Lytechinus pictus: one gene and its partner. The protein of the gene in region 2 interacts with the protein of the main gene of each other region in a pairwise test. Links are inferred from orthologs where the notes say so. Each region holds a gene or a part of one and is shown on either strand. Other genes may lie near its edges. The genes, in order: retinal rod rhodopsin-sensitive cGMP 3',5'-cyclic phosphodiesterase subunit delta-like; ras-related protein Rap-1A-like.

The links.
Region 1: the proteins of ras-related protein Rap-1A-like (region 2) and retinal rod rhodopsin-sensitive cGMP 3',5'-cyclic phosphodiesterase subunit delta-like interact in a two-hybrid assay, tested with the Homo sapiens proteins (2 studies listed by BioGRID). The link is inferred for Lytechinus pictus from reciprocal best matches to the Homo sapiens genes RAP1A and PDE6D.

What each region holds. Positions count from the first base shown.
Region 1 is NC_087258.1:10,974,834-10,990,771, reverse strand, and holds the start of retinal rod rhodopsin-sensitive cGMP 3',5'-cyclic phosphodiesterase subunit delta-like, read right to left. Parts: upstream 7,922-15,938; 5' UTR 7,368-7,921; coding exon 7,327-7,367; intron 1-7,326. UniProt on the Homo sapiens protein: Promotes the release of prenylated target proteins from cellular membranes. Modulates the activity of prenylated or palmitoylated Ras family members by regulating their subcellular location.
Region 2 is NC_087247.1:78,806,585-78,822,522, forward strand, and holds the start of ras-related protein Rap-1A-like, read left to right. Parts: upstream 1-8,196; 5' UTR 8,197-8,245; coding exon 8,246-8,275; intron 8,276-10,130; coding exon 10,131-10,271; intron 10,272-10,875; coding exon 10,876-10,973; intron 10,974-12,927; coding exon 12,928-13,078; 3' UTR 13,079-14,922; coding exon of another isoform or gene 14,923-14,936; 3' UTR 14,937-15,938. Other genes in the region: zinc finger CCCH domain-containing protein 13-like, read right to left, coding at 14,923-14,936. UniProt on the Homo sapiens protein: Counteracts the mitogenic function of Ras, at least partly because it can interact with Ras GAPs and RAF in a competitive manner. Together with ITGB1BP1, regulates KRIT1 localization to microtubules and membranes.

The DNA of each region.
Region 1 (15,938 bases), on a different chromosome or scaffold from region 2:
ATCCACATTGTGCTGTACTTAACCCAGGTGAGGTGACTGGGTACCTGCTAGGATTTATTCCTTGAATGCACGGAGCACTGCTGATAAAGCGGTAGCTCAAGGTAAAGTCGGGGTAATAATAGGTGAGCTTTGTATCCAGCTATGCCTGTAATTATTATTAGCGATTTTAAAAGGCATGAGTGCAATTGAATGGTACAAGACTTTGCATGAAACAAAGACCCCATTCTCAGTATGCACTTTCAAAAACTTGCTTGGTGAAAATGGTTCACGAAACCAGTAGATTGCTATGCTAGCGTTTTCATCTAATCACCCGAAAGTAGTTTTCTAAAGCACTTCACGTAACATGGTCTTGTTGCTATGGGAACGTCTCAGAGGGGTGACTTGTTTCACGTGAAATGTGAAACCACATTGTAGAAATTCTACACAAAGTGTGGAGAGTAGTGCGCCAAACATTGTGCAAAGATCACTTCCCGAAGAACAGTTGTCCTCACCGACGCTTAAACTTAAACTAGGGCAAAGCGGTCTTAAAAACCACACCGCAAGGTGGTTTTCCAAACTGGTTTGAAAGATGGCTTCGAGTGTTCCCATTACACAATAAAACAAATTTCCACTAAACTAGTTTAGGACTTTAATGAGAATGGGGTCAAAGATGCTCAACCATGGACCTACATGTACATGTATATTCAACACGGTATAGTATACAAATATACAATGACACTTGAGGATCTGGCTAAAACTATTCGCATCGAGGGAACATCACATAGTACTATACTCCCGAGGGCCATCGCCTTATTGCTTTATATCCCTTCCACTCAAACCATTCCTCATCGTTTTACCACGATCGATATTCTTCATTGATACCCGACTTTTACAGCGAAACGATTTTTAATAAGTCGATATAGAACAATCGTTGAGAAGTTGAGAAAATAATAAGTCTTGCCGTATGAATCGTCTGTTCAGCGAGCGCACCTGGTTAGTGCAGGGGGGGGTCAAACAAACGTATAGTTCACTTTTTCCCTAGGGAAAAAATGGACTATGCGTGACGTCAGCAAGGAAAATGAACTATTTCATGGCAAACGTTTTTCGTAGTAAAACTATTCTTTTTCTCCTTGTGTACACTCTCAATACAACAATCTTAAAGGAGAAGGAAACTCTTGGAGCAAGTTAGCTTTTGTGAAAGCAGAAAAATCAAAGAATAAGATCAACAAAAGTTTGAGTAAAATCGGACTAGGAATAGAAGAGTTATGAGCATTTGAATGTCGAGATCACTAATGCTAAGGAGATCCTCCCATTGGCAATGCGACCAAGATCTATGATGTCACAGATGAACAACTCTCCCCTTTTGGACACTGAAAATATACCCCAAAACATCTCTTTTTGCTCATTCTAATCATATGACAAACGATTCATCAATGATATAATGTTGTGAAACCTCTGTACTTGTCCTCTCATAAAGAGAACACCTTACATTGTGATAGACTCTATAAAAGTGAGAATATAAGTGAAATAAGTACTAAAGTAATGAGGGAGTTGTACGTGTGTGACATCACAGATCTTGGTCGCATTGCCAATGGGAGGAACTACATGGCATTAGTGATCTCAATATTCAAATGCTCATAACTTTCTTATTATTCATTCAATCTTCCTCAAACTTTCAACAATATGTTTCTTTGATTTTTCTCTTTGATATGGATTCAGCTGGTTTCAAGGGTTTCATTCTCCTTTAAGTAAGGGATATAATTCAATATATAGTCCAACAGAGCCTCTCTCTTTAATAGTTCCATGACATTTGCACCCCCCCCCCAACAATTGCTCTGCTAAAACACACTAATCGAAAAATACTAACTTCAACCCTGTAACCTGGATTGAACACTATACCCTACCCTAAACCTAACATAAAACCCTAAACCTAGAACACGAAACCCTATTGCAACCCTAACTCTATATCTTAAGGCCACCGCACACCTTACGACTGTTCGCGATCCCATTTTGGAACAAATCGCATTTTGCTCATTTCCCGAAAATGTGAATGGAACATATCATTTTATTTGAGGTTAAAATTAATTGAAAAAATACTAATATAACCATTTTGAAAGATTGCAAGCCTTTATTTTGGAGTAAACGCAAAATTAGTTTAAAATCGTAGCCAATCGTACGACTGCTATGACGTCATTATGACTAAATATTAAATTTGCTTTTATTCTAATATGCTCTTCACATTGCATTTCCTTAACCCCATATTATCCTTAACCCCGGACTATCCTTAACCCCATACTATCTTTTTTTGGATTCACACTGTCTTTCTTAACCCCATACTATCTGCTTAGCCGGGGTTAACGCCTAAACCCCGGACTATCCCACAGCTCATGAATATTGATGATTTTACCATACAGAGCGTGATTAATGTGCAATTTCGACTTCTGTGATTGGCTATTGCTTAGCCCCACTTTTCCTTAGCCCAGTTTCGTTTCACACTGCATCTCTTAGCACCGCAATTGTGGTGCTAGCACCACAATAAGCCGGCTAACCCTGCTTTTTTGCAGGGCCAGATAGTACTGTACTATTTACCGTGCTAGCCCACTTTGCTAAAACGTAGTGTGAAAACGAAGTGGGCTAAGCTTAACCCCAGGAAATTGGTGGGGCTAAGGCCCCCCTTAGCCCCACCAATTTCCCGGGGTTAAGGAAAAAAAAAGTACAGTGTGAAAAGCATATAAAAAGGATGATAGCATAGTCACAGATTTGAACATAGGTATTCGTACAATGATTTAGAACATTACACAGTAAGATATTCCATGTCTCAATATTAGCATCAAATTCTAGGTTTTATTCCAAAATCGGATCGCAGACCAATCGTAAGGTGTGCGGTCGCCTTTAGACAAAATAAAGCCTGTCTGCCGGAGGAATTGTCACAGGAAAAAATGTTGTGTCACACCCCTCTTTCATCAAATTTCATACAATTGGATGAATACGGAATAGGCATATTCGCTATACAGTCAACCTGTCTATTCAGGCCACCCCAAAAAACAAAACAAGAGTGTTGCTAAGGCGAGCACATAATACGCCTGCCTGTAACACGGAAAATGGAGTTATTGGTCAAGCAAGAAAAGTGGAAGGTGGTGACTTCACCTTTGACCTTCTGACCTCAAAATCAATAGAATTCCTGGGATCTATGCTAGTATCGTACACACCAAATACATGTATATGGGCCTAGGTTAAGTTAAACTAAAGTCATCGCGTTAACAGGACTTCAAAAGGGTAAGATGAAAACATGTCACTGTGATCTTGACCTTTTGACCTCAACATCAATAGGCTTCCTGGGATTCATGCCAGTATCATACATGTACACACTAAATTATATGAGCCTCTAGAGGTTAAGTTAAACTAAAGTTATTGCGTTTACAAGGACTGCAGAAGAGTAAGATGAAAACATGTCATTGTGATCTTCACTTTTGACCTCAGGCTTCCTGGGATCCATGCTAGTATCATACACACAAGTTATATGAGCCTAGGTTAATTTAAACTGAAGTTATTGCATTTACAAGGACTGCAGAAGGATGAAGGTGAAAACATGTCACTGTGACCTTGACCTTTTGAACTCAAAATCAATAGGCTTCCTCAGGGGATCCATGCTAATATTATACACACCAATTTATATGAACCTGGGTAAAGTTAAACTGAAGTTGTAGTGTTTACAAGGACTGCAGAAGGGTAAGAAGAATACATGTCACTGTGACCTTGACCTTTTGAACTCAAAATCAATAGGCTTCCCAGGATCCATGCTATTATTATACACACCAAATTATATGAGCCTGGGTTCAGTTAAACTGAAGTTATCACGTTTACAAAAAAAAGTTAATGGACGGACGGACAGACAGATGGACACTGAGCATGATACCATACTACGTCCCGTAGGACGGGCGTATAAAAAGTGATCACTACATGTTATTCTTTGAATAAAAGACGTATTAAAGTGATGAAAAAAAAAAAAAACAGAATTGATGAACAGAAAATGATAGTTAGCAAATCTACTCGTCCTTAAAATGAATGAAGTATTACTGATTAAAAAAAAACAATACACAGAAAATGATGGAAAGCGAATCTTCTTTGAATAAGACGTAACTGATGAAATAAAAAAAATACAGAATTGACGAAAAGAAAATGATGGGAAACGAATCTACTCATCCTTTGAATGAACAACGTAACCGATTAAATGAAGAAAAAAAAGGTTAAAAGACAAATGATGGAAAGGGAATCTCCTTCTTTGAATGATGTAACTGATTGAATAAAAATACAGAATTGATGAATAGAAAAAAGATGAAAATACTTGTTCTTTGAATGAAATACGTACCTGATTAAAGTTTTATAAAAATACAGAATTGATGAATAGAAAAAAGATGAAAATACTTGTTCTTTGAATGAAATACGTACCTGATTAAAGTTTTATAAAAATACAGAATTGAAGAAAAAAAGATAAAAAAGGATTATCTACTTGTCCTTTAAACAGAAGACGTCATTGTTAACATAAACACTGAAAAATAAACCATGGAGCTACATGTAGCTCCATAAATAAACAGTGGAAAGAGAATCTACTCGTCCTTTAAGCCAAAGACGTAACTATATCTGGGTCACTCAGCCAGGAGCTGCGCACATCGATTTCTAGCGGGGACGTGTCTTATGCGCGCGCTCTAGGCAGTTTTTCAACCTGCTGTCTATCGGGTTGATATGCGTGTATATACTCATTCTAGCGGGTTGACAACATGTTACCCATCTTGAGGAGTCCAAAAAATGACGGGTCTGCTTCGAGATTGCGTCGTGTTTTGACCAAAAAGTGCCTAACGGGAAAATGCGCATCCCGCAAAATCATGCCAAGTTTCTTTTTCTCTGTATTGTACTTAAGAGCCAAGTTATATGATCATGATGATTAGCTGCAATGGAATCAGACAGTGTCAAACAATCAAGCATTTGTTCCAAAGAAAAAGAGAAAATAAACCAAACATTGCCAACCTTATTTTGCCACACATGGAGTACTAAAAACAGAACAAGGTTATAATTATATCATACCCTTGTTCATTGAATGAGTGGGTCTAATGAAATATTTTCAATTTTTTGATAAAAAATCTAGATCTAGGCCTAGCCCTAGATAGTAGATCTAACTTAGGCCTAGTCAGATCTAGATTAGAATCTAGGCTAGACCAAACGCTACGGTCTCTGTCATACTGTATTGGTTGTTCCGCTGAACTCCGTTGGCTCCACTCACCAATTACAGAGACCGAAGTTCTAACTCGATCTGTACAGGGACTCAATGGCCATATGTTTATGTATTAAGTTCTGATGAACCAGGGAAGCGGGAGTTGCACTACAGCCGAGTCACTTTTTTCCCCTTTTAAGTTTATTTTTCCCTGATTTGGTGCATTTCTGGCCAAAAAGTAAAAATAATCTTTATTTTGGTCCAGTTCTTTTTATATATTTTTATGAAATAAAGACAAAAATTGATGAGCCCCGTCAGGGGTATTTTGCATTGTTAACCCCCTAAATGTGGCTGCACGATCGCGAGCCATCTGAGTACGAGGAGAATTTTTTTTAATGTTAAAAAAACTCCTTGAAACAGACGGCTGCCAGCTGTCTAAATCTACACAAGACTTGGAATGAAATACCTAGATCTAGTACAACTTACAAGTCAAGTCTAGAATAGTCGCCTAATAAAAAGATTATAAAATGGCTTACATGTATCTGTAGTACTGAACGATAAAAAGTGTTAAAATTCATAGGAAAAAAAAGAAAGAGTTCATATGCACCCCCACCAAAAATAACAAGATTGTTGAGACTTCTGGTTTGTTCACTTCAGATTTTTCTATCATTTTTTTACTGTTGCTTTCCTTAGTTGGGACTCACCTCGTTTTATTTGCAGTCAAGACCGTTCCCGCTATGCTAGTGAGAAGCGCCGATACCGGAAGTGGTATTTTAACGATTATCAAACGATAGTTCGACTAGTCTCGACTCACAGACCCTTACTGACTAAATAAACCGATGTCTATGGACAATTACACGCACTAGATCCTGCTCGAAATTTGACGGAATAAAGCCATATTTTGGTATGTATTTCCACTCCCTCATCACATAGATCTATGTTCTATATTTAGGGCTAGATATATTATTCTGAACCTTCTCCATGTTTTTATTTTCAATTATAGTGGGGGTGCTATGGAACTCTTACCCAAAAAAATGGCCCCCCCCCCCCCACGCCCAATCTGATTCTGACTTAACCCAGGGAGCTTACCGTGTATTTGACCATACTCACGGGACTAGCGTGATTTATGGTCTAAATATTTCTCCAAATGAATTGTGAAAACAGAAATTATGCACTTACATGTAGGCCTACCACGATTATATGGATGAAGGTCTAACGAGTGGCAGTTTCCTGACAACGAGGCACAGACTGGAACTTCAAAAAAACGAAAAGTTCTCTCCTTCTACCCCCGTCTCAATCAGCCATTTTTGTTATGAATCGTAACAAAATGGCCGATCGAGACTGGGGTTGAAGGAGAGAACTTTTCGTTTTTTTGAAGTTCCAGTCTGTGCCTCGTTGTCAGGAAACTGCCACTCGTTAGACCTTCATCCATATAATCGTGGTAGGCCTAAGTGCATAATTTCTGTTTTCACAATTCATTTGGAGAAATATTTAGACCATAGAGCCCAGGGGCTTACCGAGTAATTCGCCATACCCCACGGTAGTAGCGTGAGGTATGGTCTAAATCATTTTAAGAGTAAATAGTTAAAACAGAAATTAAGCACTTACCACGATTATATGGATGAAGGTCTAACGAGTGGCAGCTTCCTGACATCTAGGCACAGAGTGACAGACTGGAACCTCAAAAAACGAAAAGTTCTGTCACGGTAGCTTTCCTTCTTTCAGAATTCATAGCAAAATGGCTGTTCGAGACCGGTACCGAGGGTGTAGGGCGCATGCGCGAATTTGACAAAGTCTATATGCGCTAGTGCTATAGCCTCGGTCTCGATCGGCCATTTTGTTTTGAATTCTGAAAGAAGGAGAGCTACCGCGACAGAACTTTTCGTTTTTTGAGGTTCCAGTCTGTGCCTCGATGTCAGGAAGCTGCCACTCGTTAGACCTTCATCCATATAATCGTGGTAAGTGCTTAATTTCTGTTTTAACTATTTACTCTTAAAATGATTTAGACCATACCTCACGCTACTAGTACCGTGGGGTATGGCGAATTACACGGTAAGCCCCTGGGCTCCGGCCTGCTGCGCGGGCCGGAGCTCCCTGGGTTAGCTAGTCCCGTGAGTATGTGATTTGGAAAAGGATACACTTTGAAACCTTTTAAAATATCTTCTGCTCTACTAGGCATTTTGACTAAGGGTTCGTTGCAATTTATCTCAAACTGAAAATAACATTCAAGATCCAAAAATACGTCTTCCAAATTCCGCAATAGGATGTCAATGGGCCGGTGAATTCGGGCCACCACGCAGGCGCAGGCTCGGCAGACGGCACAGCCACAGGTCGGGTCGAAGCTCAATCCACGGGGGTCCTCTCGTCGTCTCGATCAGGCAACAACGAAAACTTAAACGACGTAGATGTAGATCTATACAAGTGTTTTCTTCAATTGGTATCAACACTGTTTTTCTGTAAGATCGTTCCAAAAAGCACAGTTGGTTATTCACAGTGGCCCATATCCTTGTACCAAATTGAATAAAACGTAGACTTGATATTGATGGTAGTCGACCGGTCGATGCTCAACTCCATCCCTTATTTCATGCATTGCATACTTCCTTTTTGCTAGCTGCTATAGGTAAAACAATCTCTAAGTTTAATCCATTACTTTGTACACAAGTCTACGTATTTCGGGATTCAGATTGTATGAAGTTAGCAGCTAGCTTTCTGCAGCGTTAATGTCACCCGGTAACAGCCGCATCACTCTAAACTATATCATTCCGCTTGGATCGTTTTCGTTTTATTTATAATTTTCCCAATTATGAGGTAAAATTTTTTGAGAAAATGATCGTCAGATATTTTTTTATTGAATAAAACCCAATATAATTTCTAAATACATTGGGATTTAGTATCCAAACCTGCTACATGGGATTATGTTTCTGTGTGTAAACAGGGTGAATTGATACTTAAAATTGCGCCAGTAGATGTCGCTCGTTCTAAATACTAAAAAAACTATATAGAGTGGATTATTGTAACTGGGATCTTCCTCCTCCTCCTCCTCCCCCGGGGGGGGGGGGGGGGGAGTCAAATACTACTGTACACATGCGTGACCAAAAACAAACGCGTATAAAGGGGTGGTTTTTTTTTCAGTTTTGGACACGGGCCGCAGGATCAAAAACACCGATTTTTAAGAAAAAGGGTGGTTTTGAAAGACTGGTCAATGGTCAATCGCGATTGATTTGGTAGTGAAGACCTTTTTTTTGGTTGTCAAAATTTTCCTGTACAAAATGCCCCCAGGCTTTCGGAGAATCCTCGATCCGTACCTGATATACAAGGGGCCGCGGAACGGTTGTGAAAGTGGGGGGGGGGGCTGACCATGCAAAAAATCATAATCAGATGGTAATTTTTACGTTTTTGTACACGGTTTTTGAAAAAAAAAATCTGAAGCCCCCGGCCCCCGCAGCCCCCCGTTTCCGCGGCCCCTGTATACAGTGCGTCCCAGAAAAAAAGGAAACCGTGATTCAGTTTAAAGTTTTTCCTATCATGATCATAAATTTGCTTCATAAAATGTACATGAATGGAAATATTATGCTTTCGATCTTCTTTGAATTTTTAGACCCATCTTAACGTTCATAATGCTCGCATGAGTGAGTTAGAACGATAGAAAATGATGCTATACCACATTTTCATTTGCACGAGCAGATTACGATTTTGGGTGAATTTTTTCTTTTTTTACTGCTTTTACTGCTATCTATTCGGAAATATCCACCTTTTCCTCTTTCATAATGAGACCTTATGCGTAAAATATGAATGATGCATGCATTGGCCGAGAAAAGTTGCACGAATTCGACTGATCGTTTGAAAAACAAGCATTTCGTTTTCCCATCAAAGCAGAAGACAATATAGGCTAACGGTGAATACTGTTCGGGCTAGGAAAACTCCCTTCATTGTTGCTGACCTGAGTCTATGGCTACGGGAATTCAATGTTACAATCGCAATAATTTTCATATTTTCTTTTCTTTAACTTCCCCAGTCGTATAATTCGTTGTTACATTTCACAGGGGTGGTAGACATAATTTAAAAAGTCCACAAATAATAGGGGGGACATTTGATATTGGGTGCCCCCTTTCCAAATGGTAGGGGGAAGCGCCCCCTGTCCCCCTGGGATTTCCGCCCATGTGCAGCACAACTCTCTATGGTGCAGAAAGCTAGACATGAGAGTGACATGGAAAAGATATAGTCATTTGAGCTGTGGGTCTGTCTGGCGCAGAATGCTCCAGGTCAGGCGGAGAGAGGATAATAATAATGATGATGATAATAATGATGATAATGATAATAATAACTAATAATAATATCATTATCATTATTATTATTATTATTATCATTATACTACTACTACTACTACCAATGATAATAATAACAATAATAATAATGATAAAGTGAAAGTCACTCTTGATCCACTCTTGATCCATGCAATTTAGAGTGCTTTGATATAGGATTGTAGTGTTAATTTATATATTTTACTCACAGAGGTTTATTTATTTTGTTATTATTTTTTTACTTTTCTTTTGTTTGTTTATTTTGGCTGTTTTTTCTTAATAGTTTAATGGGATATAGGCCTATCCTTTTTGTAATAAAAAAAAACACTTAAAAATAGTGTTGCAATCTTTATATTCTCTAAATTTTAAAGGATTTAAAATAGAACCAGGGGTCCGTTGCAGAAAGAGTTGCGTTCAAACGCAAGTCAAATAATCAATCGCAAGCCCATCGCAAGTCCCAAATGCGCGCTGTTGATTGGTTGAAAATCAAGTTGCGCATGATTTTTAGAGTTGCGATTGATTGCAACTCTTTCTGCAACGGGCCCTGATCTGCTATGAATATAGTGGTTACACTTCGTAATTCCGAAGATTCTTTATTCCGAAGGTTCGTTATTCCGAAGAATCGTAATTCCGAAACACGTAAATTGCCTATACCTCGATGTTCGTTAATCCGAAAACGAAAAAGGGTTCGTTAATCCGAAAATTTGTAGCGTTATTCCGAAGATTCGTACTTCCGAAGGTTCGTTAGTCCGAAAACGAAATAAGATTCGTTATTCCGAAGGTTCGTTCATCTGAAAACGAAATAAGGTTCGTTGTTCCGAAGGTTCGATAATCCGAAAACGAAATAAGGTTCGTTAATCCGAAAACGAAATAAGGTTAATCGTTTTTCGAAGGTTCGATAATCCGAAAACAAAATAATGTTCTTTATTCCAAAGAAGAGTATAAGCGTGGTGGAGGGGGGGGGGGGAACACCGTTGCTGTTCAATTGTTATGAGGATGTGGAGGCAAAAAGAAGAACGGCGGAGCAAAGTAGAGCAAAGCCTTTTTTAAAGAGATTTCTGATTATGGTAAGATATATATTTAGGCTTTATTTTTCGCGAGAGAGTGTAACAAGCGAGCGGTTTGGAAAAGTTTTCAAAGCTGATGTTGTAAAGCTCGTATTTTTGTCAACTGTCAATAGGGCATCCTTGAAAGGTGTTGCGAGCGTAAATCGCAAGCTCAAACTTTTGGACATTTCAATAAGAAATGAAAATAAAACATTCTGAGCAGTTTTTGCAATCATTAAAAAGATGTGCATCTAACTGAAGAATTAACACGAGCGCGAAGTGCCAGCCGAATAATGACCAGAAAAGGAACCTGTTAATTAAGGACATGCGTTTAGTGACTCATGAATAGGATACATCGAATAATGCGAGTGCGAAGCGCGAGCTAATAAGATATTTTAGTTTGCAAACTGGACATTCTAAGCCTTTTTATAACCGAAAATGGTGAGTACCTCACTAAACAATGAATGATAACAATGACCAAAAAATTGGGATTTTCTAATCTAAAATGAAAAATGTATACTTTAAAAAGGGTATTTCATAAAAAAAAACGGCACATTTTATTTTGGAAAATACAAGGGAATTTCCCATTTTGGAAAAATAGTATTTCGTTCCTACGGGGTTTATTATTGTTAGTTTTTTTTTGGGGGTGCAAGTGCCCCCTGTGCCCCCCACCCGCTTTCACCGCCCCTGGGGGAAGGGGTTGATCAATCGTTATCAGGGGCGTTTACGTACGCAGAATTCTCTGAAAGGGATGATCATAGGCTTATGAGGCTATAGTTCATGTTTTCTCTCATTGCTAGACCTGCAAATTTATTTGATTATTCATTTTATTTATCCAATTTAAACGTAAATAAAGGTACATGATACAAAGGCGCAAGGATCAAACTGAGCATGTTTACGATAAGTACAACTTAAAACACAGACTACAGAACATCAAACAAATAAAATATAAATGCATTCAAAGAGAAAACTACTATTAACCTATTAACGAAAACCAGTATGAGAGCAGATAGAAGTTATCAAATCAAATATCGATAGGGGCGCGTTGATACATTTTTAAATTGTTTTGTCAAAGTTGAAAATGTCTATTAAAAGATCCATTCTTGATTAAAATGTTTACCACTTATAAACCCAATTTTTTTAATCGCTCTGCGGGGGGGGGGGGTTGATTGTTTCTACCAGAATAGGGGTGATAAAGACCCCTTTTTTGTCTTTTTCTTAACATTTTCGGATTAACGAACCTCATTTCGTTTTCGGACTAACGAACCTTCGGAATTACGAACATCATTTCGTTTTCGGAGTAACGAACCTTCGGAATTACGAACCTTATTTCGTTTTCGGACTAACGAACCTTCGAAATTACGAACCTTCGGAATTACGAACCGTCGGAATTACGAACGTTCGGAATACTCGAACCTTCGGAATAAAGAAGTGTCGGAATTACGAATGTATGCGAATAGGGTGACCAGCCGAACATTGGATTCACCTTCATTCCTAAGGATTGACCTTTTTTCAAAAGATTTCAATTTAAATCCACAGTTTTAAATCTCAAGCTAATTTTCGGCCGGTCACCATTCCAAGCATTCAAATCCGATCTGGTTTTATTTATAATTCTTATAGATTGTGACTCTGTCTTCGCAATTCATCATCAGTTATAAAGGTTACACGACAATTTTGCTCCTGCGACAATATTGCTCCATTCTTATTATCTCAGAGGGCATATAGAGTTAGGGTCACTAGCGTACCTACGGGGGGGGGGGGCAGAGGGGGCAGACTGCCCCCCCCCCTGACGAGTCACAACCCATGCAAGGGACATATCCCTGCCCCCCTGACGAGTCTTGAAGACCTTTTTTTTTTCTTTTTGCTTGTCAAATTTTTTTTCTGGTACGAAATCCTTAATTTGTGGTTGAAGACCTTTTTTTTTTTTTTTTTTTTTTTTTGCTATATATAGAATTTGCCCCCCCCCCCCTGTGGAAAATCCTAGGTACGCCACTGGTTAGGATTGTATTAGAGTTTTTGGTTTAGAATAATGTATAAAAAAAATAAGGATTAGGGTTTATTCAGTTCTGTAGGTTAGGTTTTATGTTTGGCTTAACGTGCAGATTTTCCATCGGAGCAATTGTCGCCGGAACATACGTCATGGAACCGTTATAAATGCCTACATTTGGTGACCTTTTGAATACGATGAGTTTTGTTATTAAAACCTCATGATTTATAAAACCGACATGTATTTGCTGAATTGCTTGTGTTTTATTTAACTTACACTTGACATTACTATTGTTTGCCTATTCTCAAGAAATTTGAATTTTCTCCTTTGGCTTCATATATTACCTCAGGTTTATACACCATTTTCACTTGTCTTTATTCAGATTCAGGGCGCGGGGGGGGGGGGGGGCAGGATATTTTGACCTGGGGGAGGGGGCAAGGCAACATGTTTTCTCAATCAATTATAGGGGTAATAAAACATAAATGACGAAAAGAGAGGAAGGGGAGGAAAAAGGGCGGAGTGACATCATTTTTTACCCTTATCAAAAACGATGTCACTCCTATGGTTTATTTCCAATTCGTCTAATGCCAATCCGTCCAATTGCCAACTCATCTACTACCATTTGGTCCATCATCAGTTCGTCTACTCACCACATGGTCTACGCTTTCATTTAGTCTAAATGCCATTCTGTCTAATAACCAGTTGGCCCAATAGCCATTTAGTCCATATACCATTTGGTCTAATTAAACTAAAATAGTGCAAAATGAATGAAAAGAAAATGGGTATTAGACCAACTGGTTATTAGACGAAATTGTAACAGACGAAATGGTGATTAGACGAAGTGACAATTGGACCAAATGGTTATTGGAAAAAATTGTTGTTAGACGAAATGTTGATGGACGGAATGGCTCTAGACTAAATGAAGGTAGACCATGTGGTGAGTGGACGAGTTGGCAGTGGACGAATTGGCAATTTACCTCTCCTATAATATACTATAGGCCATTTTAACATGTTTAAAGGGTGATTTACCCCTATCCAACCTTTCATTTTTTAAGAGTGTATTTCTCTTTTTGTGCTCCTCTTTATTTTCTCTTACTGCTTCTTTCTCTCCGGCCCCTTCTCATTTTTCTCCTTTTTTTTCTTTCATAAACCAGTTCGTAGTTCGATTCTGTACATGATCAGAAGATTGGTATTTTGAATTAAAGATGGCATGGTGACACTGGCGGATTCACGGGGGGGGGGGGGGCAGGGGGGGCACAGCCGGCTCGCCCCCCCTTGAGAGGCACAACTACATTTTTAAATGTAAAAATGCCGTTGAAAAACAAGTGTGCTCCCCCTTTTTTTAACCTGTCATTTTTTTCCGCGGACGAAATGTACTTAATTCTTGGTTGAAAACCCTTTTTTTCTTCTTCTTTTTATGCTTGTCAAATTTTTCATAGGGAAAATGTGCCCCCCCCCCGTTTTGGAAAATCCTGGATCCGCCCCTGCATGGTGGTTTGATATTCAGTGAGGATCTGAGAAAAGCACCAACTTTGATGTCTAGACTTGATTATTCATAATATTCTTTTGAATTGAGCTTTTCATAGATCCATGGAAGCAACGATGCGACTATATAATATTTAACAGTTTGCCAAATATAGCAACACGCTAATGCATTCAAAGTAAAAAAATGCTACAAAAACCTTTTAGTGTTTACTGATGTGTGCAATATCCATACATCCTGCGTTGTCAGATTATGTTGACATAATAACTAGCTTTGAAATTTGCCTGTCATAAAGAAAGAAAGAAAAGGTGACTGGTCTATAAGAAAAAAATGATAGGGGCCCTCACACCCCTGCCCCCCTGACGTGCCGCTCCCGGTGTTTATACATTATCATGTCTTGGTGTTTACATAACTGTTGAGTCTATAGGATCGTGGTAAATACTAAAAACCGGTCAACTTCGCTCTACTTCTGGAGGTTATGAATGAAATTCATCAAATGCTATTCTGAGATTTTCTTTATTTTTTTTATTCTTATTTATTATTTGTTTTACGTATAGAGCACAAAAAAATAGAGAGACGACTCAGTGGAAATTTACAGAAAAGAAAATTGAACTACAAGAAGACAGTTCCATTCAAAACAATTGGCGTCATAAATTTGCGATATTTTGTATAGTGGTAGAGTGCATTCAGAAACTCTAATAACTATGTCTGTTTCACTCACGTGCAATTTAACACAGTTCAGAAGTGTAGGCCTATATGTTATACGAAAAAAAAAAAATTTGCTTTGCCCAATTGATCATGGGCCCGTGAGCCGCTGTGCACTCTAAATTAAAAACAGATGAGTAAAAAATGACTAGTTAATAGGGTCAGCTGGGTGCAACTGTTATTCTAGTCATATTTTACTATTTTCTAGTCGTATTTTACCAGAACAGAGTTATGTCAGAAATGTGACTATCAGTGATTGCCTTACGTTGCACCCAGCTGACTACTGGTCTAGTCAATTTGACTGATTTTTTTAAAGAGTGTGCAGCGCCATATCGATGAGGCTCTATCCCTTTCTTCGTTGAAAGCCAAACAGGGTAGCAGCAACTCCCGTATTTTGGTCTTACGGTGTTTGAACACCCGACCTCCCATCACGGCCCTGGCATGGTTTTTTTTTACTGGGGGTGCTGAAGTAAAAGCCAACAGGGTAGCAGCAACTCCCGTCTTTTTGGTCTTTCGGTGTTTGAACTCCCGACCTCCCTCACGGCCCTGGCATCGGTTTTTTTACTGGGTGTGCTGAAGTAAAAGCCAACAGGGTAGCAGCAACTCCCGTCTTTTTGGTCTTTTGGTGTTTGAACTCCCGACCTCCCATCACGGCCCTGGCATCGTTTTTTTACTGGGTGTGCTGAAGTAAAAGCAAACAGGGTAGCAGCAACTCCCGTCTTTTTGGTCTTACGGTGTTTGAACTCCCGACCTCCCAGGGCCCTGGCATCGGTTTTTTACTGGGTGTGCTGAAGTAAAAGCAAACAGGGTAGCAGCAACTCCCGTCTTTTTGGTCTTTCGGTGTTTGAACTCCCGACCTCCCATCACGGCCCTGGCATCGTTTTTTTACTGGGTGTGCTGAAGTAAAAGCAAACAGGGTAGCAGCAACTCCCGTCTTTTTGGTCTTTCGGTGTTTGAACTCCCGACCTCCCATCACGGCCCTGGCATCGTTTTTTACTGGGTGTGCTGAAGTAAAAGCAAACAGGGTAGCAGCAACTCCCGTCTTTTTGGTCTTTCGGTGTTTGAACTCCCGACCTCCCATCACGGCACTGGCATCGTTTTTTTACTGGGGGTGCTGAAGTACTAAAAGCCAAAAGGGTAGCAGCAACTCCCGTCTTTTGGTCTTACGGTGTTTGAACTCCCGACCTCCCATCACGGCCCTGGCATCGGTTTTTTTACTGGGTGTGCT
Region 2 (15,938 bases):
TGACATGAAATAATTGACAAGAATGATAAGAGCAGGAGAAGAAAATGGGCAGAATTATACCCCTTTCATAAACCCAATTATGCGGCTAATAAGCAGCATAATTTGGTCGTAAAATCGGAGGAGGACCAGATTTATCCGCATTATTTTGATGCTGCAATTATCCGCATAATAGCGGCATCGGGACCAGATTTTGACTTAAAGAACGCATTTCAAAGTAATGCGGATAATTGCCATGGTGCGGTCACAAGGTCACCTTTTCCCAACACAACCACATCGGAGGGGGTGTGTGCGGTTGCCATGACGATTATCCGCCTTTTTCAGGACGGGCGCTCGTAAAAATAGTGCGGATTATTTTCGGAGTTTGTGAACGCAATTTTTATTGAATTATCCGCATTACTCTTAGGCGGCTAATTGGAGGATGGGTTTATGAAAGGGGTATTACTTCATTTTGTGGATTGTAACTGGAATTTTGTTGATTTTAAGATGATACAATTTCTATGAAAAAAAAAATTGCCTTCCTCTTGCTTGATTTCAAGCGGGATGTAATGCAGTTAATTGTTTGCTCTGTTGAGATGATGATGAACTGTACATGAGTGCAATACATTCATAGGCATATGTTTTATTATGCAAGATGATGAATTTTGCCATATTTAAAGGTCAAGTCCACCCTAGAAAAATGTTGATTTGAATAAATAAAGAAAAATCAAACTAGCATAACACTGAAAATTTCATCAAAATCGGATGTAAAATAAGAAAGTTATGACATTTTAAAGTTTCGCTTATTTTTCACAAAACAGTGATATGCACAACTCAGTGACATGCAAATGAGACACTTGATGATGTCCATCACTCACTATTTCTTTTGTTTTTTATTGTTTGAATTAAACAATATTTCATTTTTTTTAAAGATTTTACAATAAGGACCAACTTGACTGAGCCATATAGTATCAAACAATGCTAATTCTGCATGTTCAGGGAGGAATTAAACGTTGTTTCACTTGACAAGAGGAAAATTTTTAAATATTTTATATAATACAAGAGAAATAGTGAGTGGATGACGTCATCAGTCTGCTCATTTGCATACCGACCAGGAACTGTTTTGTGAAATTACGCAAAACTTCAAAATGTCATAACTTTCTTATTTTTCATCCGATTTTGATGAAATTTTTAGTGTTATGCTTGTTGCATTTTTCTCTTTTTATTCAAATCAACATTTTATTCCTCATACATGTAGTCTCAGGTTTTTTTTTGTCTTATCAATCTATAGGGGTGAGAAGAAGTTGCACTATGTAAGAAAACAACATAATCTATAGACTATAGGCTTTCAAAGCTTCATTTCATTTACTCAATATGCTTTATTTCATTTGTATCAATTATACAAATTTTAAGTAATAATAATGATAATAATAGTCCGCTTTTATATAGCGCTTAATACATTGGAACGACGTGTCTAAGCGCTTTACAGATATATTATTAACCCAGTCATCGGATTCAATCAGTCATTCCCGCGCACAATGTATGCACATCCTCCACTCCCTGGGTAGTATTCCAGTCAGTCGCTAGTGAGGCGCACACAGTACTGGACAAGCTACAATGACTTTCACATCCTACCGGGTACCCACAAGTGCATGAAATATAAGTTTGGGTTTCAATCTATAAATATTAGGCCCTTGAACTGCTTATTTCTTTAATTGAGGAATTTTAATCAAATTGTTTTTTTCAATGTTTGTTTTAACTGTTTTTTTTTTAAATTTCTTATGTACAGTTTTGTGGTTACTTTTGGGTTTTTTTATCGTTTTTTAATGGAAATTATTGGCAACAATTTTCCAATCATTAACAAAAAGTACAAATATTGATACAGATAAAATGTTGGCGAAAAATTTGCATTGGCTTTACTTGTGTAATATCATGGAGCTATCAATGTGTTGATAGCTCCATGGTAATATCATAACCGCATATCCATGCATGTATCAAAAAAATAGTCTTGAACAATATGGCGTGGCCCTGCTGTTCTTATGGATTTATCATAGAAATTTTTAAGGGGGCCATTACAGTCCCCTGGGATTGTTAGGGTTAAAGGTCAAATCCACCCCAGAAAAATGCTGATTTGAATCAGTAGAGAAAATTCAACCAAGCATAATGCTGAAAATTTCATCAAAATCGGATGTAAAATAAGAAAGTTATGACATTTTAAAGTTTCGCTTATTTTTCACAAAACATTTATAACAACTCAGTGATGTGCAAATGAGGGAGTTGATGATGTCTCTCACTCACTATTTCTTTTGTTTTTTTAATTGTTTGAACAATAAAATATTTCAATTTATACAGATTTGATAATAATGACCAACTTAACTGAACCAAAAAATGTTAAAACAATGGTAGTTCCACTCATGTTCAGGGAGGAAAAAAAATATATTTCACATGACAATGAGAAAATAACGACATACAAAATAAATAGTGAGTGATGTCATCAGTCCCCTCATTTGCATACCAACCAGGATGCGCATATAACTGTTTTGCGAAATTAAGCGAAACTTTAAAAATGTCATCACTTTATTATTTTACATCCGATTTTGATGAAATTTTCAGCATAATACGTTTTTCTTGGGGTGGACTTGTCCTTTAAGGTTTGCTAGCTGATTATCTTATTCTGAATTAAACTACTTTTCTTCATCTTTACAAAGCGCAAAGTTTCGACTACTTTCGTGTGTACCTCAAGGTTACGATGTCAGTTATACTGTCTATTAGCAAAATATTATTGTGCTTGTGCAACACTTCCATTTCATTCAAGTACTACTATTACATATTTGAGCTTATTTTAAATAGTGTTTCTATCCCTGTCTAAAAGTGAGCACAACGCTCAAATGCTTGTTAAAATGAGAATATATAGATTGATCTACATAATTGAACAGGAGGAAAGGAACATGACAAAGCAATGGAAAAGGGGAGAATAAGGGGGGAAAGAGAGAGGAGAAAAAGAGTGGTGGTGAGAAAGAGATTTAGTTAGAAGAAAATAATACACCACTTAAGAAAAAAAGTATAAAAAATATATTCATGTAAAATCACATCCATGCATATTTATAACACACAAGTCTATGAGGTGTTTTAAAACGCGTTTTAAAACATGTTTTAAAACACACCGTTTAAAACGTGCCAACCCTGTGCACAACTCAGTGACATGCAAATGAGAGAGTCAATGATGTCCATCACTCACTATTTCTTTTGTTTGAATTACCGTATACATTATTTCAATTTTACCAATTTGACAATAAGGACCAACTTTACTGAACCAGAAAATGTTAAAACAGTGGCAATTCCACATATTCAGTGAGGAATAAAACTTTGTTTTACATGACAATGAGGAGAAAATTAGAATATTTCATATAATAAAATACAAAAGAAATAGTGGGTGAGTGATTTCACCAGTCTCCTCATTTGCATACCGACCAGGATGTGCATATAACTGTTTGGGAAATTTAGCAAAAATGTCATAACTTTCTTATTATACATCCAATTTTGATGACATTATCAGTGTTATGCTTGTTAGATTTTTCTCTTTTTATTCAAATCAACTTTTTGTTGGGGTGGACTTGTCCTTTAAAAACTGTTAGATCTACCCCTTTTGAAAAATTAAAATGGCTGAATGAAAAATACAATAGATTTTTGTATATACATGTACAGTGACATGCTGTAAAAAGTGAAAATAAATGAAAATAATTCGATAATCTCTTAGGATTGAAGTTAATTTAATATTTTTTTAACTCTTTACATTATTTTTCTTTGAAGTGTGAATATTGATGGCATCCATTTCTACACTTTCATTTATACAAAAATTACAAGACTGTCTAATTTAGGGCCTATATGTATTTTGAATGTACAGGTACATGTACTACATGTAGTAGTAGTTCTATTTACAGTGTCAAGATATTAATATGGTATTTCTCTGAAATGACCTCTACTTGTATATCCCACAGAAGCTTAAAGGGGAATGAAACCTTTGGAACAAGTAGGCGTGTGTCAAAACATAAAAATCAAAGAATATGAACAAAGAAAGTTTGAGTAAAATCGGACAAATAATGAGAAAGTTATGATCATTTGAATATTGCAATCACTAATGCTATGGAGATCTTAACATTGGCAATGCGACAAGGATGTTTGATGTCACATGTGAACAACTTTCCCTTTGATGTACTATAAAATACCCTCAAAAAGTCTCTTTTGTTTTTTCTTATGGTGATACAAACTCTTTATCCATGATGTATTCTTTCAAAATCTGTATTACATGCCCTCCTATAGAAAGAACACATGATCTACGGATAGATGTAATAAAAGAGGCAATTTAAGTGAAATATATACTAAATCAATGGGGGAGAGTTGTTCACAAGTGACATCACACATCTTTGTCGCATTGCCAATTTGAGGACCTCCATAGCATTCGTGATCGCAATATTCAAATGCTCATAACTTTCTCATTATTTGTCCGATTTTTCTCAAACTTTCGTGGATCTGTTTCTTGGATTTTTCTGTTTTCACACAAGCTATCTTGTTCCAAAGGTTTCATTTTCCTTTAAAGCATCCTGCTTCCTGTTTTAATCCTACCTGTATATAATGATACAAGAACACCACAGCTGGTGATCCTAATTGATACTGTAGTGTTGGTGATGTTTCCTTTGTTTATACCAGTAAATGGCATAACCTTGTCACTGTGGACTTGCATATATATATCTCTGTCACGTTACAAATGTGGATGTACAGATGACTGGGGCAGGCTTCCTGGTTTACATGTAGCTACATGTATGATACTGTGGAGATACATGTATAGGCCTTATTATCATGATAGGATAATTATATGACCCACCGAACTTGTTGATATGTGTCATACTGTAGTAGGCCATGGAACATTGAAATTATGAAACCCCCTTTTACAAAATCATGGAAGATTTTATCTGTTCACTAGGTGATTTCAGACCACCTCGAAGTTCGTCAGTTCCAGGTATTCTCTGATCGGGAAATTTACCCCGATCAGAAAATACCAGGTATTTTGGTAATGTGAAAGCAAACTACGCGTAATTTCCCCGAAAGAAAATACCCGCTAAATAGTAGGTACTTGGGCGAAATTACGAGAACTTTCGCGGGGATTTTTCCAAGGTCGCAGGTATTTTGGCGATGTGAAAGCAAATTACGGGAACTTTTAGCCCAGCGTGTCGTTGGGTGCGGCGCCGTGGGTGGCTGCTGGGCTAGTAGTTTTGAATCTCGCGCCTTGCCTGCTTATTAGACCATACTGCGCATGCTCCTAACTTCAGGAATTTATCCCGAAGTGTATTTTTCGGGGCGGTCTGAATGCAGGACTAATTAATGGGTATTTTTTAGCCTAAAATGTTCTCGTAATTTAACGGGGATTCTTGTGATCGAGGCGGTTTGAAACCACCTACTGATTGTGAAATATGTATCATTGTAGGCCTACATGTAGTCATAAATCAAGTATCACTGATAATCTTTCATGCAGTTCAGTTCAGCATGATCAAGGTCATATGTCATTTAGTGTCACTAACTTTAACCATGTTCTGGTATCAACTTATTATTAAACCAAGGTTAAGTTTGTAAAAATTATGTTTCATGAAACTTGGACATGTGAAATTAGGGCTTTCCCCCTATGTGAAATTTATTCGTCTTTCTCAGCACTGCTGTCACCGTCACGTTGAATATAGGGCCTACATGTATGATGCAGGCAACACTGCCAGAGCTGTCCACTTGTTTTAAAGTTCATCCTTGAATCTTGATTGTGTTTCAAAATCCTAAAGAGCTGTGAAAGGAAATAAGCCCCAAAAGCTGTACTTGAATATCTTTCAAGGAAGTAAATTGTTGATATTACCATGCAAACACCCAGGAAATATTTAGTGCTTTTTATTGATAAGCAGTTATGCACACATAAAAGTATAAACATATAGGCCTACATGTACATGTAGATTGATACAATATGTGTGTTAATACATTTGTATAATAGAGTCCAGTGACACATCCCAAATACTTTTTTTTTAGGGAAACTGATTACCTATTACATACCTTTAATAATGCTTTTTCCATATTTAAAAAAATACTTGGGCTTAAATAGTTTATTTTTATTTTTTGCATACGTGTAGTCATGCTGAAGAGCTGTGTCTTAACAATGATTTTTTTTAGTGTTGCTCACCAGTGATTTCTTTCTCCTGTTTGAATCGAACAGATGATGGGGAGGGGGGGGGGGGGGGGAACCAAACATGTATTGGATATGGATTATTTTAACCAAAAAAATAGGCAATTAATAGCAATATATTCTGTTGGAAAAAAACCCCAGACTGCTTCAGAATGGATTGGGAGTGATACTTGCATTTTAAAGATCACAACATGATTTCTAATTGTATGGATCCCTATTAACACTTTATGATAAAGGAAAGTAAAGAAAGGAAATGGATAATTGATATGACTTCCCCTAGTGTAAAGAGAGCCAAGTGAGAGAGAAGGATGATAGAGAGGGATGAAGGAAGTTTAAAGGGAAATTTGTAGAAGGGGGATACATGGATAGCAGCATTAAAAGGAAGGCAAATATCTATTAATGTATTGCATGTACACTTTAATGCAGAAGACCTGTCATACTTGTGAGCTTTATTGTAATGTTTTGGATTTTGGTGTCAAACTTCAGAATATTTTATACGCCTGTCCTAGGACGGGACGTATTATGGTATCACGCTCGGTATCCGTCTGTCCGTCCGTTAACTTTTCCTTGTAAACGCGATAACCTCAGTTTGATTTAATCTAGGGTCATGTAATTTGGTGTGTATGATAATAGCATTGATCCCAGGAAGCCTATTGATTTTGAGGTCCAAAGGTCAAGGTCAGTGACATATTTTCATCTTACCCTTCTGCAGTCTTTGTAAACGCGATAACTTCAGTTTAACTGAACCTAGGCTCATATAATTTGGTGTGTATGATACTAGCATGAATCCCAGGAAGCATATTGATTTTGAGGTCGAAGGTCAAGGTCACAGTGACATGTTTTCATCTTACCCTTCTGCAGTCTTTGTAAACGCGATAACTTCAGTTTAACTGAACCTAGGCTCATATAATTTGGTATATATGATACTAGCATGAATTCCAGGAAGCATATTGATTTTGAGGTCTAAAGGTCAAAGGTCAAGGTCACAGTGAGTCAGTGACATGTTTTCATCTTACCCTTCTGCAGTCTTTGTAAACGTGATAACTTCAGTTTAACTGAACCTAGGCTCATATAATTTGGTGTGTATGATACTAGCATAGATCCTAGCAATTCTATTGATTTTGAGGCCAAAAGGTCAAAGGTGAAGGCACCACCTTCTACTTTTCTTGCTTGACCAATAACTCAATTTTCCGTGTTACAGATGGGCGTATTATGTGCTCGCCTTAGCGACACTCTTGTTTGTGATTACATGTAAAATTATAACATAATGAAGGTTACATTGAATATGCCTGTTGAAACTTGAATCCCAGATTAAAGTGCAAGTATTAACTGTAATCAGTTCTATAATAAAAGTGGCATCGCACTGTTTTAGATAGAAATGAGAACACAGGGTTCTTAATTTTTTTTAGTAGCAAGTTATTTTTCTGATTTATTTGTACAAATTGGTAAAACATTCTATTCATATATGTGCTAATGGATATTTGATGAGCAAAATGATGATGTAATATCCCCACTTGTTATTTCGTATTTTAGCATATGAAATATGGAATATGAAATATGAATGTTATTAAAATTAATTAAAATATTGGGTTGACAACTGATTAGATGTTTATTACTACAACTTATTTTATCATAAGGGAGACATATCATACACTCTTGCATGAAAATATGACATAATGATGATTTCAAGTAATAACATGAGAAAAAAAGGGAGACATGGCATCATCAGCCGACCAAATGAATACTCATGACAACGTGTGTATTATTAAAAACAAAATATTGCTATCTTTAAAAGATTCAATAACTTTGTTATTTGTTATCATATTTTGTTGAAATTTTCGTCATTTTGCTCACCGAAGTTAACTCTATTTATATAGTTATTTTCAGCCCACAGTACCCCTTTAAAATGTATATGTTGTTTTTTTTTTAATGTGACTCAGAAAAATCAAACTAATATGACATTGTGATATTATAATATTTAATACATTCAAATCAATTCTTTTTATATCATTTCATATCTTTCAGCAAGTTGAAGTTGATGGACAACAATGCATGCTCGAGATCTTGGATACAGCAGGCACAGTAAGTTTAAAGTTACCCCCCCAAAAAAAATATAAAAACAAACAAACAACAATGGATGGAAGGGATGAACAGAGTGACGATTGAATAAAAGAAAGGTGTAAGTTACAAAATGAAAATTTAAGAATAATGTATATATCTATATACATAAATACAAATGGAAACATTCTTCATTTCAATTTATTTCCTTTTTTAAAAACAACAATACATGTATATATAAATCAATACAATGCCATATTCAATACATAATAATACTTCTAGTGGAAGATCATAAAAAACACAAATAATGGCTTATTAAAAATGACCCCTTACAGTATAAGTAACATACAAAGATGAAATAACTCCAAAAATGTATAATACAAACTAACGAAGGGTAAGAACAAAAGTGCGGTACGTGAATTACTGTACATCTGCATCAATCAGAACAATCAGGTAAAGTAATCAGGAGGTGTCTTTTATACAAACATTTGAATTGTTTTACAGTCTTACTATACTTAAATGAACAGGAATGAAAAATAAATCATGCTAAATACATGTAATACACAGAATGATTTTGCATTTGTAATTTCATCAGCATTTTTGGTCATAAGAGAAAAGATCTAGGTTCTATAGTACAGTCCTTTGTAAAAATCTGCAACAAAACAAGACTTTTTGTAGAGCAGCCTTTATAAAATGTGGATCAAACCGTGATGCGATACCTGGAAGAACTAAGAATGCCAAATGAATGTGGATATTAAGTGAAACAAAAGGGGGGAAATATGAAATTGGATAATTGTGACAAATTATTATTTGTATTATGTTTTGTATCTTAGAAGCCTGCGTGAATGTTGGTCAGAAATCAAGTCAGTTTTATCGTAATACCTTCTCTCTATTTGTTGAAAAATACAGTCAAATAGCTATTATAAAAAAGGAAGTTGAGCAAATCGGATATCCATTATCCATACCCTATCCTTTTGCAATGAATTCACACACACACACACACACATCAAATTCCAATAGACCTCCATGTACAGGATGAGGATCATCCCTCCAACCAGAAGTGTATTTTACATGTATTACTATATTGTACAACATATTTCCGGACTGTTTTTGTTTAATGTGCCCTTTAGAGATAGTTGAAGCCTATAACCTTGAAATCAAAGACGTTTTGTTGGTTTTTGTGTGCGTGTGTGAAAATAAGAACATATTTTTTTTCCAAAATTAATCACAATCAATACTTTCTCATTTTTGCGAACTGCGAACATTTGCATGCATAAAACATTTTGTGAAACAAAATGTGTGTAGTGTTTGTTTCACAATTTTGAAATGACTTCATGGTCGAGCTGATTTTATGATTATACCTTTGCTATATATACCAGGCATGATATTCTCCCGATTAAAATTGAAATTCCGATTTTTTAAAATAATTTTTTTAGATTTAATTTTTTTTAACGTGAACTCCTTTGCCCAAGAACGTGAAAATGACATAAAGCGAAAATAATGACAGTTTATAGGAAGAATGATTCATTAAATTATGATTGATTTAAAGGGGGATCTCATTTCTGACATGAACACATTGCATGCATCATTATTTGGTTATGAAATAACTTCTTAAATATACATTGCAAGCACTCTTCAAAATGAATTTGGAGGAAAGATGATTATCATTATTATAAAATTGTTTTGATTTTTGTTATATTATTAAATTATTATTCTTACAATAGTAGTTATATATACAAACTATTTAAAGTTAAAATGAAATAAATTGTAGAGTAGTACAAATCACTTTATATTCTCAGCCAGGGCTCATTTTATACTCACATAATTTATCAAGTAATCTTTTTATTTCTATTCTTTTCCTTTCTTTTTATGTCTCCAGGAACAATTTACAGCAATGAGAGATTTGTACATGAAGAATGGGCAGGGTTTTGTTCTTGTGTATTCCATCACAGCACAATCTACCTTTAATGATCTACATGATTTACGAGAGCAGATTCTACGTGTCAAAGACACAGATAATGTGAGTACCTATCAGTCGGCAGACTAATACACCTTTGTTTACCTGAATGCTTTCATACATGTGGTACACTATACAGTTTAATATGACCTTGTTGAAAATAATGCAGGTAGCACTTATCCACTGATAAAGCTTGTAATGGGAGACTCGTGTCATTTAGGACATTGTCTCCTGCTATAAATGTTTGACTTTCAAGAATGTTGTTATTCAAATATTTTGTTGAGGAAAGAAGTCTTGGTGCACATGCATGTATATTGGAAGATTCATAGACATTATGATGCCAAGTCAGTAATCCTCCCTCATATTTTTAAGTAAGATAAGTAATTTTGTTTTGCTGTATCTATTACATAAATAGTGTAATTTTTTATAAAAATATGCCTTTAATTTCAATGAGAAATGCTTTTATTTCCCCTATTTGCTTTCTCACCCTGCTTTTATTGTTCTTTTATTCGTTGAATTCAATTCTTTTAAAATTTCATATCATTTCATACCATATATTTGCTTATCATTTATTGTTGTTTTTCTTTTTTTACACATTTTTTGTACATTGATGGTAACTATATTCTCTAAAACATCCCCTTGACTGTTGTTATGATGTACCTTTCAGGTTCCCATGGTACTTGTAGGAAACAAATGTGATTTAGAAGATGAGAGAGTAGTAGGAAAGGATCAGGGAGCCAGCTTAGCAAGGCAATTCAATGGATGGTAAGTACACCAATCCATACATTTTATTTTTACAGCAATTATATTTTAAACGATGGATGCTTCTACCTTGGTTGGCAACTATATCTGTTCTATTGAGCGATCGGTTTTTCTATCCAATTTTAATTTTTTAGGATGAGGGTGTACTAATGTTGTATCGAAAAGTACCACATGATTAAAACTCTATGGTCCTGTTGTTGTTTGTAGTGCAACATTGATTTTATGAACCCACAAATCATAGATGACGCATGCGTAGATGGTTCTGCTTGTCAATTTTTTTATCGTAGAAGCATTCATCATGCAAACTAAAAGACCCTTACTATCATATCTTTAAAGGAATAGTAGTGAACCACATTAAAGACTTCACTATACATCCCCAAAATACTGAACAATTACCGTAAACACTCATTTTTTTGTGAGTACCTGCTTAGTGTTCAAAACAAAGATTGAAAAGAGTCACCTGTGATATAAATAGATTCTCTCACCCATTGAATTCATACCAACTGATGTAGCTTTTTACAAATCCTGATCATGATAAATTGTGCAGAAAGATCTTTTATTTTTTTAAGAGATTAAATGGTATGATAAAAGTAGAGGTCAATATAACAGACATCCAGTACATTCTTCGCTCCTATTATTTCACTTCAAGTTTGTGGTGAGGTGTAATAACTGTTTGAACTTATTAAGTCACTTTAACATTAATTCTGTTTTAGATATGCAAGTTTTTTCTCTCCAAGAACTGGAAAAATGTTTGGATCCATATTACAGTGAATGTTAGTGATTCCCACTTGTTTCCTGTTCTAGATTGTATGTATATTCTGTGTCAAGATAAATGCAAAGATTTAAACTGAATAGTTTAAATGTTAATATCAGGGGTTGAATTTCAAAGCTATTAATTTCATTTATGATTTTTTTAATGCCATAATGATTATGAATTTTGAAGTCTTATTTGCCATTAAAGGGGTGTGTATCCTAAATATTTTCCTGCAATCCTTTTTTAATACAGACATGTGTGGAATGGGATCCATGTTCTATTTAGGTCTTGGCTTTTTTTCCCTTTTCCCCCTAATTATGTACCTCATTGGCAAACTCCCAGAAACAAAAATTGTTTAAAGTCATAGCAGAAAACAGCTGTGACTTTATTACTTTCTACAGTCATTACAGCAAGGATGCATCTGCTAGGTTTGGGGTTTGAAGAGAAAATTGAGATATTTAAATAACAACATTCCTATCATAAAAAAGGGATTTTTAGTTTTAATATTTAAGTTTCCCATATTACACATTTAATTTGTAGAAAGAAAGAAAGATATGTTTCAATGCTCTCACTATTACTTTGTATGGACCCAGCAGGAATGTTGTCAATTAAACGCTATTGTTTTTTGGGGGGTAAGAATATTAGAAGTAGCTTACAGTGCTATCAATGCATGTGTAAAACAATAAATAATACATGCAATATTTTTTTTGCATACTGTATGCAATGTCCAATTCCTCAAATATTCTGTTTTCAATATACATGTAAAGTGTACCTCTTTTTACATGTTATCATAAAGAGGAGAAAGTCCAGTGATTTAAATATCAAGTATGCATAAACCCACATCCAATATGATACCTAACACCTCAAATAATCAGGCAATGAATGTATTTCTAGTTTTTTTACCACCCCACTATGAAACTGTTTCATTGTATTACATTTACACTACATATTTATTAGATCTGGGGACTGTTTCATGAAAGTTGTCAGCACTGACAAGTTGAATTTCTCTGATACTATAGTAACAGTCAGAGGCCAGTGCCTCTCAGCCAAGGATCTCACTAAAAAGTCAGCACTGACAATTAAGATAGTGCTGAAAACTTACATGAAATGCCCCCTTGCTGTAATGCTTTGAATGAAAAGGATTAACTACCTTTGATGTCAGCATTATACATGTTCTACAATGTTTGTTTTTATCTTGTGCAGTACATTCTTGGAGACCTCAGCTAAAGCCAAGGTCAATGTTAATGACCTCTTCTATGACCTAGTCAGACAGATCAATCGACTAACACCAGAATCACGGAAGAAACCAGGAAAAGGAGGAAAGGGTGACAGAAAGAAATGCATAATTGTGTAATAAATGGCTGTTTGGGATGAAAAAAAATATTTGTTTGATGGAATGAAACGGGGTGAAAAGAGGATTTTGTAAGAGCTTTAAACAATCCATCGGGTTTGTGACTGACAAATTCTGTGCAGCTTTAATAGAGAATGACTCTGAACATGCTTTGTAACACTTTCATCATATTGGTAGCCCTTGTGGTGATTTGTGCTCTCTCCATAGAGGTGATATTATTCAAATCTTCTGCATGAAAATAGAGGAAATCTTGACAATGAACAAGGATTTTTTACGTTTTCTAGCCATTAGATAACATTTATCCACTCAGCAATGCTTGTTTGTTATAGCACTGTACTATACTTGAAAACTCAGAAACATCTAAAAACATATCATTGTTCTTATAGATGCAAGAGTTTACATGAAAGCTGCATTTCTTTATTAATATCCCTTGACTTGATTAATAGAGGAACAAATATTCCACATACTTATAATATAAGCCTTGAAGACTGGTAAAAATCAGTATAAGAAGAATGTTTGGGAAAGATTGGTTCAAGTTGAAAAAGGAGAAAGTGGATGGAACTGACAAACAAAAGTTGCAAAGATTGTCTGTATTGAGTGTTGGGGTCTTCTATATGGGACCAGTATTACTGGGATCATTTTTGTACATTCAGAAAAAAAAGCAAAAGCCTTCAACTCTGCTTTGTTTTGTATTGTTCAACTGTACAAATTTTGGTACATGTAATTGACTATAACATAGGACAGTATATGTATCACTTGTTAACTACATTTTAGATTACATTGTTGCACCCTAGTCCCAAATTATACATTTAATAAAACTATGTCTTTTGTTCAGCCTCGTTTGTAATGCCTCATTCAGATTTCATGTAAAAAAATTGGCAGCAGCAAAACCTTGTTAGATAACAATGCAGGGTGTGAAGGGGCACAGAAGAAAACACTCAATAATCATCTCAAATGTACATCACACTGATCTTATCATCTTTAAATCATTTGCATTTTCATGTCTGAATTAGACTTTATATTTGAAGCTGGTCAAGAGGAATAGTTGCAAGAAGTTACTTGTAATAAAGTCAGTCATTTCTGAGGACCTCACATTGGTCAATTCCAATTAGTTAGTCTGGGACTGTATATCAACTTGCGATGATCAACCCTATGTTGTTGCTATGTATGCACATTGTTTGATATTGTAACATCAATTGCATCATCAGATTATCTGATGGTCTTTGGTGATATGCAATTAATGTAGTGTACTGGTAGGAGAATTTTAGATCTACCTGTATATTTTGATATCTTTGAGTAGAAAAGTCAGTTCTCCCATGTCATTCCCCTTACTAGTCCATACCATTCTTATTCATCCAGTACCCTTATTAAAATTACCACTTTGTTTTCTCCATTTCTTCATATAACATTTTTTTAGAATGAGGGGAAAGGGCATACTTATTCATAATTTGTATAATTGAGATGAGATATATTCATCTCACAATCAGTTTTTCATATACACTACAATATCGCACTCCTGACACTTGGTACAGTATTGTTGCATTGTACTGATAGTGTGACATTAGAGGACAATAAAGTCTGTTTTATCTGACAATTACCATCGTAATAGTTAGACATCTGTGCTTTTCAGCCAATCAAAATCAAAGAAAGTCATCAGACTTGATAAATGTTGATAACACTTTCCTGGTGGTGTATTACCAAATAGCTTTTTAGCTTAGGAATGAGAACAATGTTTAATTAAGTTATACTTATATCCCTGCCATTCAGGATATATAGCATAAATTCTTTTGAGAGTAAAAAAAAAAAAGAATATTGTTTCATAAGTATGTTCAAATAGTAATCCTAGTTCAGTACTGGGCAGCTGAAACAAATGATATCAAAAATATGATTGACATTTTTAAAACAGATTGTTAAATGAACTCCCTTTATTAATGTACCTATGTTTGTTTGTATGTCTGCATGCTCTTCCAATTAATATTAAATATGTCTCAGTGAGTATTGCATTATTTAAATTGCTATAGGTCTTATTTATCTCGAAATGTTATATATGTATACTTTGTCATCATCTTAATAATTATTCATTGATATCTTTACTCTTTTTTTTTTTACTTTATGTTGTAGACAAGAAAAATAAGCATTGAGTATTTTGTTATCTATGACTAGATTTGTTAACATAAGTTATAGGTAGAAATTCATTGTAAACGACAATAGGTCATATGCACAGTTTGTATTTTTTAACCAAAATTTCAATACCCTTCTCAACATTACAAACAAAGTTTGATCGTAAACAAAGAGAGTAAGAGAAAAAGAATTTGTCAGATCATTTTAAGATTCAAAGCAAATCTCTAATACAAATTCAAACAGAAAGTGTTTTTAAATCAAATTTTACATTGGAAAATGACAGCAATATTGCCTTACATTAACAAAGGAGCTTTGAAAGAAATTTATAAAAGAATAAATCTATGATGTTGAGCTTGCCAATAAATATATGAAATGATTGTATAATAACTCTACTTGTTTCATTTTGTACTATTATTCATTTGGGTTACCATATTGAATTTTGGAGTAGGAAAATCAGGCAAATACTTGCAATGCAGTGATTTGTAACTTTTGTCATTTGATATGTTTGATTTTATCATTGATGTAATCATCATTGCCAAGTGTCAAACAACACAGTAGACTGATGATGGTAGATACAGCAGAATGTTGTAAGAAAAATGAAATCAACATATTATTAGGAAAGATTGATTTGTTTTGATGAATATTGTTTACATGCATGTACACTTTGATATAAATGAATGGAATTTAAATGCATGCATGTGTATTTAGGTTTGATTTTTTTCTTGTAAATAATGGAGAGGTC